3 linked regions of the Drosophila melanogaster genome follow. The protein of the gene in region 1 interacts with the protein of each later gene in a pairwise test. Each region holds a gene or a part of one and is shown in the gene's direction. Other genes may lie near its edges.

Region 1 (4,807 bases):
GCCTGCAAGTTCGCCAGAAGCAGCCGTACCAACTGTGGCCATAAACAACGGCGTTCCGCCCAAAGTTTCGGTGAACGTTCTGAACGACATTGGCAATATGCTGGCCAATCTCACGGACGAGCTGGACGCCATGCTGGAGGAGGAGAAGCGAGTGGGCCTAAACATAGACAGTGAATAAATCTCCAATCAAACAACAAATCGTAGTGTAGCTGAATTTAGAAGTTGTGGTGTATCTTGTAATGTTTTATGTACTTCAACTTAGTTAAGTTCAATTTGTTTTTGTATTTCTTATTCCAATTGCGTGTGGAGAAGCATTTATATTGGATCGTATTCTGTATCATTTCGATATGCACACTGTGTAGTAAAAAGCAACTACAACTGAAAAGCTTTGGACAAACCATGTATACTTTTGTACTTTTCCTAAACTCTCCTCCCATTCCCGAAACTATGAGTGTTAACAATACAAAATGAAAATAACCAAGTAAAAGAATGGTAAATGAAGCGCAACATGCATATATGCAGAACTTGCATAGTTATTATATAGCATAAAATATATATAATTCGATATATAAATAAATATTTAAACGAAATCATTTATATGGACAAGTATTTAGTGGTTTGATACTATACGACAGAGGAGGAATCAACAAATAAACCACACGGCACACTCTTAAACAAACACAATGAAAGTCAGGCAAGAACTACTATTTAAAGATCCCATTCAGACAATTTCAAATTGTATTATTCTAGAATTTTGTACCTTAGTTCTTTGTTCATTTTTTTCAAATCACGCTGCACAGAAATGTTTCTTTTTGTTATGATTACAACTAAAATCAAACTATATGAAATGAATGTATAATTAAGTGTTATTCCATACAAAGTAAAAAGATGCATTATATAAAATATAAATCTTATATTAGCGTTAAATTAAGAAATCAAAAATAAAAGAAGGAAACGAATCCATCTTTATAAATTATGTTTAATCGGGCATTGATGCTGAATAACGTATGAAATTCCGTGGTATACAACTGAATTGCCTTCTTCTTTATAATTTACATAAATAAAAATCTTTTAGTGAAAATTTTGTTTTTTGAGAGTATTTTCGGTTTTCTGTTAATTGCGCTCAGTTAAAAATATGTTTGGTGCGCATATCATTAGAGGAAATTGGAGTATTCGATTTATAAACGCATATAAGGAAAAGTAAACAAATTAAATACGAAAAAATCACAAACATGTAAAGCACATAAAGGGCAAAACAAAAATGATGAAAACAAATAACAAATAAAGTAAACTTTCATAGTAAAATGTTTCTGGTTTTAATGCATATTTTGTTACTTAGTCAGACCTATTTATTTATATTTCATTAATACGTATTTAGCAACTTTAACAAAAATCCTTTTTGAAACAAAATTTTTTTAATTATTCATAACGTTACGAAGTGAATCAACTACGTAACGTGATGTGATGGTTATGTAGATGAGGCATATGACGTAATGGTAAGAGAAAATACCAAGCCCGCCAAGAGTAATTTTGAAGACTAATATGTTAACTTAGCATTTTTTTAAATATAAATTGTTACATTATCAAACTGGTGCAATGAAAATCAAACATTTTTTTAATTGTTTATTTTTCTTGAAAATAGTTGGCAACAATGCCAGCGTTGTAATGAAATATACCAATACAATAAAAATACCAAATGTTTATTTCAGCAACTGCTGGTCAGCATTTCACTATCTGGTAACACCGCGCTGCGGTCACACCGAATTCAGCTTCTCATTTCGTCGCGTCTGGACGCGTCTTTAATTTTTAGGATAGTTTAGCCTTTATAAGCGAGTTAATTAAATATCTTAGATGCCCCGAGCGAAGGAGAAGGTGAAAAGCCGCGTGCCCTGTCCACTTGTACCGTTCGTCTTGTTCACACTTAATGTAATCGCCATGTGTCCCTTTCCCTTTTCGCTTTTAACTTCGTTGTGAAACATAAGACGCAAAATGAAATATTTGTTTTAATACTGCTGCTGTACCCGCATAGCAAATTGCCAGTTAAAATTGCCAACACCAATTTACATAATATTATAGAAAAAAACACAGAAAAAAAAAAGAAAAACAAAACACACAAGCAAATTGATAGTCGTGGGATGTGTCTGTGTAGCAACGAGATCAAATAGTGAAATGCAAAAGCGTTTTTCAATTGAAAAGCGGGCTGCAGAAAAGTGAAAATTAACGCGTTTAGCGATATATTTGCATTTGGAACGAATTCAGTGAAAACCAGTAAAAATGTCGAGTGCAGAAGACGGCGAGCTGGATCCCCAAATTCAGGTGATTTTCCTTCGGCAATTTGCCTGCTGTCCTTCCTATTTTCTCCCCCTCTCTCTCTCATTGTATGCCTCTCTCTTTCGTACCTGGCACTGAATGGAACGGTATTTTAATGACAATAACAATATTCAGGCTGCTTTGTTTTTGGTTTGCTTGCTAGTTCTCTCTATCACCTGCTCTTCTTTGCAGTGCAGTTTTTGTTGGTACAGTGCATACCCGATTCGGTGAATTGTGAAGACCGAGGGTATCCACTGTACCAAAGTGATAAATGTGCACCTAGATTTTCATACAAAAATATGTTTACAACTTACAAGCAAAAAACATAGAGCACTGTATTTTGGAAATAGGAAACAGGCGTTTTTGCATTGCATTTCGTTACTCATTTATTGCGTGAACCTTTTTTACGCTTTGTTGGTTTTCAAAAACGATACAACAGCAAAAACCAACACAGAAAATCAATTTACGAGCCATTTAAGCAAATTGCAAGTTTCCTTTTCCGACGAACTATTCAATATGCATTGTAAAACCGAAAACAATACAAAGTGCAGGAAAAAAGGGATCACAAAGGGTGTCAAATAATCCCACGCACTTCCAAGTAAACTGGTTTTTTTTTTCTTTTTACCCGCAACGGATTTGAACTCGGTACCTAAATGAGATTCAAGTGCAACTTGGTTATTGCTCTTTATCTTTCGCCCCTTCTTCTTTGCTCATCTCTTCGCATTTTTGGGAGAGAGGAGGAGGTATGCATACAAATTTAATAAATGGAAATACCAAAGCGCACACGCAAGCCAAAGCAGCAACAACAAAAAACAAACACGCCTTTGTTTCTATTTCGAGTATTTTATATATTATTGTGTAAGCCAGACAATTGAAAAGTGTCTTGAAGCGCAAGTCGCAGTTTTTGCATAAATCAAGATTCATATGCTGCTCATTCAACTGCGCAAAATAGTCGCACACTCGCCTAATAGCCTTAAATGGGCAGGAAATAATACGAGTCTGTAAAAATAAAAACTCAAATCGGATGAGTATAGTGAAAAACACAATGTTTCCAAACCGTGATCAATAGGAGAATATATTTATGTATATGAGTATATAAGTATAAAATGGTTATTCAAGTTAAAAACACCTTTATCCAGGGCGATCAATCGAATGGTACGTCCATTGTGAGAATACCCCCTACATAGACAAAGGAAAATCCCGGTGTAGACCTACAATAATTCCTATTTTTAAATGCAAAACTTAGTGGGAGAGACGCCACACGCGGCGCAAAGTCATTAACAACAATTTGATTTCGAACCCAGAAGACAGACGGCATGTGACTAGATTGGATTCGTCGATAATGTCCGAAAGTACATATGTATAGGTATGGGAAAATGTGTAGGAGATATTCACTTTGTCTATAAACAATCTTTAGTGCGGCTCTATAAACCAAATACAAAACTGTACCGAAACCGGTTAAGAATTCTACGAAAAACCGCATGCTACATTATACAAAAAAACGCGAAATATTTTGCTCCGCCTATTTTTGCCTTCTTTCTCAATGTTTTTATGCTCGACTTCCTCTTTCGACAAGTCGACTTTGTTGTTTTTTTGCCTTCGATTTGCCAATGATTTATCAATGAGCATTTGGCGTTCTTCTTTTTTTTTTATTTTGCGCGTGCAAAATTTCTTATCTAAAGAGATGTTTTCAAGTTGATGACGCCAAACAATAGACAAAGAATAGGCACCGCGTCGATGTCGCAAAGTCTATTTAACCAAAAACGTGTGTCCTAACAGATGTTTTTTGTAAACAATTCCACACGCGTCAGTTAACTTAAAAATATGGTCATTTGCGTGCTACGGATTTGTTTTTCGAGCCCCAAACTTTCTAATCTCATACCAATCCACATCAAAGCGTCACTTATCGATTAGATGATAATTGCTTTATTAAAAAAACAAAGGGGCCTTTTTTTACGATAGAAATTAGTGAGAAAAGCTTTGTAGCAATTTAAAAATAAATTAGTAGCCTTGCCCCATTTGATAATTAGATTAGCAAGGGAAACTTTATGTGCAGGTGAATTTGATAAAAAATTATAAATGACTAATGAAGTCGGCTATCTCTGGTCTCAGTTACGTAAGCAAGGTGAGAGTACGGGTATCGCGAATTAGAGAACTCGATCCAGGCGTCTATGAATCAGAAAATCGTGTCCGAAAAGTGAGTCAACGTCTACTCTATATATGTAAAAATATACCGTAAAGGTGTCTCCCAAAAGTGTATATGATATTCTTTATGCTTATCTTTTATTGCGAATACGAACTTGTGCTTATATCGCAAGATTATTTATGTGCATACAATACAAAGTTCATAACCAGTCCCGATAAAAACTGCATTTAATACTACATAGCACTCTTCATATTTGATGAATAAGTTTGCTCTCATTTATTTATTATTGAGTTTACTTTTTATTTTGTTTGCGCTTCCAAAACAATTACAACTTTCTCTGATCAAAAAAAA
Region 2 (5,567 bases), on another chromosome or scaffold:
CAAATTCACAGCTGTTTTCCCAAAGCTTTTCAAGTGCCAGTGGAAGACTTACGAAGGTCAAAAGAAGGTTAGTACATAAGCAGACGAACTTCGAGGTGGGTGTGTGCTCTGTGCCGGGATTAATCTCGAATCTGGGAAAAATCTGAGTGGAAAAGTCGACGGCGAGCCTCCAGTCATCGAGTTACCCACTTGAAATTATCAGTTCCAAACACTCTAATAGCAGTCCCCTTGTTTTGTCCCCCGATCCGCAGTTCTACGCCAATTTCAGCACCGATTGCACCGACAGCAACAGCAACAACATGAGCCGAAAGTTCTGCGTGGGAGGCAACTGGAAGATGAACGGCGACCAGAAGTCCATCGCCGAGATCGCCAAGACCCTGAGCTCGGCCGCCCTCGACCCCAACACGGAGGTGGTCATCGGCTGCCCGGCCATCTACCTGATGTACGCCCGCAACCTGCTGCCCTGCGAGCTGGGTCTGGCCGGCCAGAATGCCTACAAGGTGGCCAAGGGCGCATTCACCGGCGAGATCTCCCCTGCGATGCTGAAGGACATCGGCGCCGACTGGGTGATCCTGGGACACTCGGAGCGTCGCGCCATCTTCGGCGAATCGGACGCCCTGATCGCCGAGAAGGCCGAGCACGCCCTGGCCGAGGGCCTCAAGGTCATCGCCTGCATTGGTGAGACCCTGGAGGAGCGCGAGGCCGGCAAGACCAACGAGGTGGTGGCCCGCCAAATGTGCGCCTACGCCCAGAAGATCAAGGACTGGAAGAACGTGGTGGTGGCCTACGAGCCCGTCTGGGCCATTGGCACCGGCCAGACCGCCACACCCGATCAGGTAAGGTCGCCCGCAGAGGCTAATCTCTTCCAGAACTGATATTTTCCCTTCCCAATTGCAGGCTCAAGAGGTCCACGCCTTCCTGCGCCAGTGGCTGAGCGACAACATCTCCAAGGAGGTGTCCGCCAGCCTGCGCATCCAGTACGGTGGATCCGTGACCGCCGCCAACGCCAAGGAGCTGGCCAAGAAGCCCGACATAGATGGCTTCCTGGTCGGAGGCGCCTCCCTGAAGCCCGAGTTCGTGGACATCATCAACGCCCGGCAGTAAGCAACGCGATCTCAAGCATCAGATCGCTTTCGGCCAGCGAACTGCCCGCGAAGGAGGCACTGGAGGGCAGGACTCCATACTCCTGCGCGCGAATGCATTACGCACACACCTAGTTGTTGTCACCACCAAGTGCAGTTCCAAATTCATAGTTACCTTGCGAGAATGCTACTCACATCCTTGTTGTTGAACGTATAGTAGTCCATTGTGTAAATCTTAAATTATTCAGGCAATAATTATGCGCTACTCATTTACTTATATACCAAACCAAACAGGTGTCTTATTTTTTGCAAGACTATTTCAGCTATTTTTAGAGCGATTGGTTGAACGACAAGGTGTCCAAAGTTGTGTGCACATATGTACATATATGTGTCACCTCTGCGGACCTTAAACCGAACAAGTTATTACTTAATTTCTGATAAGCATGCGAAATGGCAAATATTTGGAATATGAGTTCCAACTGAGTAATCGAGGCAATCATTGTATTCACTTACCTAACAAGTGAATCAAATCATTTGCATCATGTTTTTGACAATATCTTGCATAAAAGCCTTCAAGAAGAAGCAATGCATCATAAGATAGCTTAACTTGAGATAAGAAAGGAAAACAGTTTGTACTTATTATACTTTATACTTATACTCAGAGTTCATTTCTAATCGAAGTGTTCGAAGATTGTGCACAAAGTTTGGCAAATATGGAGCTAAACAAGGCAATTTCTTTGTAGCTGATAAGTTATTTAGCTTAGTAAGTAATTTATGGTTAGTAAATCAACAAAATATTATTCAGTTTTTCTCAAAACATGAACAGGCTGAGAATTCTTGAACCCAAGTGGCCTTAGATACATTATCGATTTGACAAGCTCTAGTTCTCCGTTTTTGAGCTTTTTATTGTCATTTCTGATCCTGAACACATCGATTTTATTCAGACTGGAGTTTTATATCAGAACAAATTAAATAAGTTTTTAGCCAAATCTTTAGAGAGTAAAGAAAATTTTAACTTGGTTTTAGCGATAGTTTCCCTAGAAGATCAACATGACGCAGTACTATGTCTTTGACGTTATCCTTGTGAACTCCAGTTTGCCGATTCCCCGCAAGTCCGCCAGTTTCAGTGCGGGTGGGAGGCCCGTCTACTCGGTTCGATTGTTCGAGGACTTTGAGGAGCTGTCCATGGAACGCATATTCGTGGATCAGTTTCCCACAGAGGCATTGGGTGGCTTTACCAGCAGTCCCTGTGAGCTAATAGGAGCATTGACATCCAAGGGCGTAGGCGTCACTCTCAAAGAGAACGACGAGCTCATAGGATCGGGCAACGCCACGCTGGAATCTTCAATCCTGCGCCAGCTGACAGACCCCAGCTTTTCGGTTACCCAGAGTGTTACAGTTCAACTGACCAAAGGGCCTAAGAACGACCGAGTGGGTGAGGTGGAGCTACTCCTAAAGATCAGCTCCGCTTCACCGGATATAAAGTAAGTGGTGTTAACCAGATAGGGGAAATGTAGTATTCCTATTAAATCACAATCCTCTCTAGCCACGGCTTGATTCCCTTTGGCTGCTATGACGTGTGCAAGCCTGTGGATCATTCGATCAACAAAAAGGATATTATCTTCACCCTGGGACGCTCCGGAAAGTGTGCAACGAACAGCTGCATCACGGATGAGCGCCTGATGTCGCACGCGGGAGCACCCTTCCAATGTCCACACGCCGCAAGTCAGAATCAGGAGGATCAGGATAACAAAGGCGGTGCCTTTGCCAGATGTGGGTGTTTCCTGAAAGGAATGCAATTACCTCCGGATGTTGGCACGGAGAAAAAGAGAGAAAAGGCCGCTCTGAAGAAGCTCGTCGATGAACTGGGTCTAGACGAGATAAAAGTACCCAGTCCTCCAGACACACACGAAAAGTCCCGTCGTTGGCATTGCAAGTGCAAGCAGCCGAGTTCCAGCACAGATACTTCCTCCTGTGACACCAATGAGTTCACAGCGGAAAAGCCTCCTAGAAAGAGAAAGGCCATATCCTTGACTGCCTCCATGGAGCGGGCTGCTCGTCGAAGACTCATGGGCACCTGTCCTGTAAAAGAGCCTGTTTTAACACAGGAGGCCTACAAGCCACCGAATCTCTGCCAGCTCTGCCGTTCGGACATCAGTTGGCTGCCCAAGATCTCCGCCTGTCCCTACTGTGGCTACAAAACCTTCGAGGACATACAGCCCAGCGAGCAGCCCTACGATCTTACGGCAACTGCCCAGCAATTGCTAAGGGACTGCCTGCGCAAGGAGACCTGTGAACTGGACCCGTCCAAAGGTGATGATGAAGCCATGGGCGACAAGAACAAGGATGATCCCAATGTTCCGCAGCAATGTGGCTGCTTGGGCGGGAAACCCTGCACTCGATGCCGCATCCGGAAGCTCTGCGACAACTTTTTTAAGGAAAATGAGTGCAAGATTGAGCCACTCCCACAGGCTTATCCGCAAGCTCCAAGCAAATCACAACCGGAAAGCAAGAAGGTGAACCAAGCCAACTCGGACGAATCACTTCGTCGTACCCAACTGATCTCCATCTTCACGGAGATGCGGAATATGTTCGGCAAGAAGAAGGGAGCCAACGAGGCGGACGTGGTGGCCGAGGAGCTGAGGAAGGAGTGCGATGCAGCCTGCCGTAACACCAAGTCGGCCAAGGCCCGCAGGAAGGCCAGGAAGGCGCTGCAGAAGACACTGGACGAGATTGACAAGGCCTATCCCAAGCCAGCCAAAATGCGGATAAAGAAGGAGCGCACCCACCACAAAAAGTCCCGATGGTGAGATATGAAACCTACATTGCGTTCAGATAGATTAGACTCTCATCTTGCAGCTACACCTTCTTGAAGCTGAAGACGGTATCCAAAGACTCCCGTATCGGGCATCTGGACTGCATTTCGGGCAGCAAGCATACGGGCTACAGCAGGATTCCCTGTCACATGGGTTGGATGTGGACCAAAAGCGAGATGGCGCGCCACAAGTCGTGGCGCCCAGGAGCCATTTCTCGACCCATCCGACAACTAATGTCCTACTTTCTAAAGGACTTTCCTGCGGATAATATTTGCCTTTCGCGTTACCACTACCGACACAAAAAGTGCCGCAGGGTCGAGGAGCTGGAGGAGCCACTAGTGCAGCATCCAACGCTGCACATAAGTCGGAAGGGAGATGAGTACATCATCACCTTGCGTCCATTAAAGGATCCCAAGGCCCTGGCCTCCAGTGCCAACCCTTATGCGGATATGAAGCCCGTTGTCTTTCGTATTACCAAGGATCCCATGGCAGCAGGACTCCGCCAGATGAGAGTGAATCTTCAGGACAAGGGATTTGCCCCCTGCACTTGTCGCCGGCCGGTGGCCAGTTGCTTTTGCCGGAGTCACATTGAGAAGAAGCGAATTCAGTACGAGGTGGAGAACGAGTGTCGCCAGCGTGGTTGGCCAAACAACTCGGATACCTTCGTGTACTCCCCAAACAGCGACGATGATGACAGCGATCGGGAGTACGAGTTTGGGGTTACTCCTCCGGCGGGAGTCATAAAGCCCGAACGGGTGCGACAGCCGGACAGAGCGCACGTGGAGACCCAGTACGTGGATCACGACTGGGCCGCTCCCACCATGTACCCGCATCCGGCCAACATGCTCGTCCAATACGGCGGATGCGTGATGGGCGAGCGAAAGAAGATGTTCCCATGGATCTACGGAAAGGGCGACGTTCACGCGGATCCACCGAAGCCGCGCCTGCGAAATCCGCCCAAGAAGAAGCCACGCAAGCAGCTTCCCTTCCGCAATGTCGGTGGCTACGATGATCCCCGGAGGTTCGATCCAACCCCACTAAACAGACCTTGGCACAAGTCTAACTGACATGGTGGCGGAGTCCAAATGCATTGATGTTAGCAATCACAAGTATACATAGCCTTTACATTTTAAATAAATGACGGTTTCGGCATTCCAAGAATTCCACATAAATGAATTGGTTTTATCCCTTTTGGCATGAATTGAATAACATAGTCATAGTCATAGATTTATTAAAACAATGTGTTGGTATGTCATTCTATGCCAATGTGGTTCTATGTAACCCAGGATGCCGTGAGTTCTACTTCACCTGGTCATTACAGTCCGATTCTTGAACACAGCTCATTCTCTATTGATAGTTCAGGTCGATCGCTTCAGGCTCAAGTTATCTATAAATTGCTTACTTTTATGTGAATTCTCGTGACGTAGCCCGTGCGCTTTTTTAAAATTATTTGTGCAAGAAAAATTTTAGACTCGTGGACGACCCTATATCGATTGCTAACCGGCCAGGATGGAGAAGTACGAGTGCAAGCCAGAGCCGGTGGAGAAGAAGGAGAAGCCGGTGGAAGAGCTAATGAACTGGGATGCCTACTACAAGAACCGCGGATTGGTCAGCACCCGATTGGGCAGCTGCAAAGCGGACTACATGCACTGCTCCACGTACCAGGAGA
Region 3 (4,885 bases), 1.2 Mb from region 1:
TCAACCAGTTGACCGGGATGAGCGGCTGGAAGCGTTAACAGATCCACACATTTGGCCAACAATTGTTGCCCCCGATTCGAGCTCGAAGTCACTTTGTTAGTTGGTTAAACTTCCGCACAAATGCAACCGAAGTCTGGAGGAGATCGAAATGGGAATGGAAATGGAGATGGAGCCGGGAGACGACAACGACGACGATGACTGCATCCGCAATGCAACTTTCTGTGTGAGATTTCCGCCTATTGCAGCTGCAACTGGCGACGCATCTGGTGGCCACATGGGGGTTTCCGGCCGGAGGGAGCGGCTCCTCCAACTTCTGGCGCATCTTCGGTGTCTGAATTTATTACGAGATTGCAAATCTCCACCGCGATTACAGCAATTATGTGGCTTTCGGTAGGAGGTTGGCACATTGCCCGAGGAACGTGCCCAGAGGTGTGGAATTAAGACTCTCGGCGGAAGGGGTAAAGAAAGTGATGTCGAAAGCTCTGGTCATGAAAAAGAAACGATTTTATAAAATTGATAAAAATTATATGTATTCATTAGTAAGCTGGGAATATTACCCCCCCCCCCCCCTTGCTTAAATATTAAGTATACGCCCCTGGTCGCTTACATGGCTCTCCTCTAATAACTCAATTTCAACACCAGCAAAAACAAATGTGAAAGTGCCAAAAGCCGCCTCCCCCCCTCTCTCTCTCACTCTCTTTCCCGTGGTAACCACCAATCATAGCCAAAAATCCCCAATCAGCTCAGCATCTGGCCCAGGTTTCGATGCACTCGAACAGATAGTCCGACCTCGCCACTCTAAGCCGCTTTAAAGTCCCACCATGGGCTGCAATAAAATAATATAAAATGAAATAAAGATAATTTGTCAGCTACTTCATTTGCGGCAGCGCGTGCGTGACTCGCGGTTGCCTGTTGCATAATATCTGCAGTTGAACTTTCCCAGGGGTTAGCACTCTCTTACCCACCAGTCACCACATCACACCAACCAAGGGGTATAAGTTCTATAAATCAAATATAAATATCAATATCAAACTTATAAATATATAAGTTCCTATAAATCACATAATCAGGCTGGGCCAAGCCTTATAGGAAATGCGTGGCAGTGCATTTCACTTGTTGCCATTAATAAATTAATTATACAACCATGACGGCACTGAGCTCAGTTTTATCCCCAGACGCACGCACTCTAAGCCCTCGTAAAAAATAAAGAAAAATGCACACAGATGGTAGGAAAACTTGTACATTTCGTTGTCATCAGCACAGCAACAGCGCATATTGTGCAAATGTTGATGGTCAAAAGTTGGCTAACGCCTTGGCCAAAGCCATGGCCAAAAAAGCAGCTCGAAATGCAGCCAGCTAAAAGACAAATATCAAGTGAGTGGTGAGGTTTTCAATTTTCAAAAGTCGAAAAAGAAATGCTCTGTTTGAAGAATATATATATCAAATATAAAGACAACTTTAATAAACTCTTAATCATTGGAATTTATAAAAAATGTAACAATTAATATAGGTAAAATCATTTTTGGCATCGTAGCACCTGTCTAATTTCCATTTATCCCCACAGATTTGGAATGCAAATGAATTTCCCCGAATAAATTGCAAATTCGACTTCCTTCTGAGCGTTGCAAATTTAATCAGCAGCTTATTATGCCCCACACATAAAAAAATAAAATTCAAAAAAAAAAGAAGGAGGAGAAAAAATATGGAAAATGCAACAGCAATACGCCAGACATGGCCGAGTCTTTTCGGCAAAGGCAAAGGAATGGAAATGGAAAATGGGAAAAGCGAGGCAGCGAAAAGCGAGCCAACAACAAACCGGCTGTCTCCGTGAAAACTGCGCGGCCCCGAACACACACAAAACTCAAGTGGCGCGAAAATTCGAGGCACAGTTGCAACAGCAGCGCGCAAGCGTGCGGTTTTCCTCCACAGTTTTTCCAGCCAAAAGTAAACAAGGCAAAGCGAAACGAAACGAAACGAAAACTCAAATTAAAAGTCGCATTAAATAAATGAGAAACGAACGAGGACTGCGACGAGCAAGTTTAAACAAAGCTCAAAGACAAAGTTGAATGAATATAGTCAAAGTTTGCTTTTCTCCGCAAAGGATATGAGAAAATCATTTTGTAAAAAAAAAAAAAATATAAAGAGCTTGCATTACATTTAACCAAAGTGCTGGCTAACAAGGATATAATATACCTTAAAATAAATTAAATCAAAAAAATATAAACGCATCAAGTTAAACGTCGAGCAAATTAATGAATATTTTACTGAATGACAAAAGTGAAACTTATAAGTGAAACATCTAAGGACGAATAACGAAAACGATTAGTTAGATAGTTAAATTTGTTAAATTAGATTTTATGGTCTTGTTTTATCTCAAAAATCTCTTAGTTACTAATGAAAAAGATTTTGGTAAAGAATATAAGATCAGAAATAATTCTCATTAAACATAATTCATTCATTTGTCATTCATTTGATTTTCTAAGAACAGGAATTTTTGAAATCGCAGGATACTATTTTTCTGCCTTCATAGTTTTAAAAAGTACTCATTTAACACAGCCTTTGCAGATGTGTCATCTGTTAAAGTACCATATAATGATTTTTGTTTTACTAATTTGTTAATTATGATGTTTCATAATTATGGGGAAATGTTTAAAACAGTTAATATGAGAATTTGAAAAGCACTTTTCGCAATTAGCTGCTGTGATAGTTAACCAAACTGAACGAATACTTTTCCAGGTCCGACAAACAAACAATAAGGTTCAACGCTGAACAAACTCATTTACAATTTGTATTTAAAATACCAAGACGGCGAAAAACAGCGTGGGAGAATAACAGAAATTTCAACAACAATTACAAATTGAGCTGCCACTTTTGTGGAAACGCGAAAAGTGCAACGTGCAACTTGACGCCTCATTTGCCCGAACTTCCGCCGACATCCAAGGAAAATGGAAATGGCTATCTGCGGCGGTGGCATCCCCACCTTAATGGTAAGTACATGGGGTCGGTTCGTTTCGGGTCGGGTTCATCATTCTGAAATTTTAATATAAATAACCGACAACTGCAAGGGCCATCGAGGCGTGAAAACAACAAGCGCCAGTGGAGAGACTTCGAGCGAAATTTCTGGGCGTGGGCCTGGGAAAAGTGTCGGCCTTCGATGCAGCGATTTTCATTTTCTGGCCAGGAAATGGACGCGGCCAGTCACTGCATATGGCGGGCTTCTTCTCATTTTCCTGGCGCACGCACATTTCGCAAGCAATTTATTTTCATTGCACTTGAACTTCAATTAGCCCGGAAACCAGCGAATACTGGCCAGACTTCGTTTAATTACCAGGCATTAAAATCATAAAGCGTATTCCAAAGTATCTTTGCTCAAAAATTCGTTATGCAACTGGCATTGATTGTTTGTGCTTTTTGGCCAAAACGCTCTCCATTTTATGACCCCGGTCTTTATGAAGGCCCGCTGTGGTTATCTAACCGAATCGACATTGGAATCCATATCCAACTGCCGGGACGAAAGGAAAATGCACCAGCAGCATTTGCAATCGAAACTGGAAATTTGCAATTTAAGTGGATGGAAAAAAAAAAAAAAAAGTTTGCGACCATTGCTGGCATTTCTTTTCAGCCAAGTTTCCTTGTGGCCCAGGAAGCACTCGTACCCCCAGCACTTTCTAGACCCGTAAAGTCTTTTATGTGCATTGAACTTGACTTTGCCGCCGGTTTTTGGCCAGGGCAAAAAAGACCAAACTGGTTCTAACTGCCACGGCCACTGCAGTTGGTAACTACCCACGTTGCACCACCCACATCTCACTGCCACATTAACAATTAGCCCAAGCTGTGCCTTTTGCCTGCCTGCTACCATTTCTTCTGCTGTCTCGACTCGCTCTCCGTCTTGGTCTTGCTCTTGGTCTGGAACTTAGTCTTGGCCCTGGGTCTTGGCCCACTCCACTCCACACCATACCACTCGTCTGGGTGGCACGTTTTTCCGGCTTGTTGCATACAACAAGAGACGATGCCGTAAGCGCATATTGCAGCCAACAATTAAACAAACTTGTGGCCAAACAGCAATTACAGAAACCATTTAATGAAGCAACCTGCTCGACATGAAAGAAAGCGAACGAGAACAATAAAGTCCAGAGGGAATGTGTTTGTATTGATTGGGTTAAAGACATGGAACTTTAGAGAAAAAATTATAAATAAATAAAAACATACACGAATCCAAAACTTAATCAAATCAAACAAAAGATAGTGATTTAGTTTATATTAACCCAAAACGAATTTCCACAAAATAAATGATTTTTCTAAAACTAATTGAATGCTGATACAAAAAACACCTTCTGTTTGCCCACTGAGATGTTGATTCCCTTGTAACTAAGAAGCCAGAAGATGATCAAAACTAATTGAATTGCTTTTACAAGTTTATCACCTCCATGCCATGCTGACTTTTATTATTGGTTATTTGTCTTGAAAAAATAAACCGAGTACAATAAAAGCCAGTTCAGCACTTTTAAACTGCCAGTACAATAAATACAACTTGTAAACAGCTGTAAAACTCGAAAGCCAAATGGTAAAAACGTAATTTAATCAAACTTTAGCTCTCGCAGCTCTCGCTGCAAATATTACAGTTTCAATTTCCCAAATAATGTCAAAACAAAAGAAAACTTTTAAAACGCCATGCAGATAGTAGTATTAGAAGTAGGAGTAGAAGTTGAAGTAGTAGTTTCGCTCCTTTTGCCTCTCTTAGCGGATCGTAAAGGAATTGTTAACTAGTTTTCGCAGCACTTCTAATGCCATAAAATCCGACTGAGCAAACTGAAACGAACGCAAATAGCAACAATTTTTATCGCTTCTTTGCATTGAGTTTTCAAACGAATCTAGCGCGTGTCCC

What was found. Proteins that work in one complex are often made in the same cells at the same time.
Region 2: the proteins of pcs (region 1) and CG31029 interact in a two-hybrid assay, tested with the Drosophila melanogaster proteins (one large-scale study listed by BioGRID).
Region 3: the proteins of pcs (region 1) and Cpr50Ca interact in a two-hybrid assay, tested with the Drosophila melanogaster proteins (one large-scale study listed by BioGRID).

What each region holds. Positions count from the first base shown.
Region 1 is NT_033778.4:14,979,508-14,984,314, forward strand, and holds the start of pcs (parcas), read left to right. Parts: upstream 1-1,755; 5' UTR 1,756-2,274; coding exon 2,275-2,316; intron 2,317-4,807. Other genes in the region: ckn (caskin), read left to right, coding at 1-178.
Region 2 is NT_033777.3:30,128,779-30,134,345, reverse strand, and holds CG31029 (uncharacterized protein), read left to right. Parts: upstream 1-1,950; 5' UTR 1,951-2,132; coding exon 2,133-2,566; intron 2,567-2,628; coding exon 2,629-3,888; intron 3,889-3,941; coding exon 3,942-4,965; 3' UTR 4,966-5,067; downstream 5,068-5,567. Other genes in the region: Tpi (triose phosphate isomerase), read left to right, coding at 1-67, 252-836, 898-1,104; Ppi1 (protein phosphatase 1c interacting protein 1), read left to right, coding at 5,408-5,567.
Region 3 is NT_033778.4:13,768,030-13,772,914, forward strand, and holds the start of Cpr50Ca (cuticular protein 50Ca), read left to right. Parts: upstream 1-1,885; 5' UTR 1,886-1,944; intron 1,945-2,736; 5' UTR 2,737-2,945; coding exon 2,946-2,987; intron 2,988-4,885.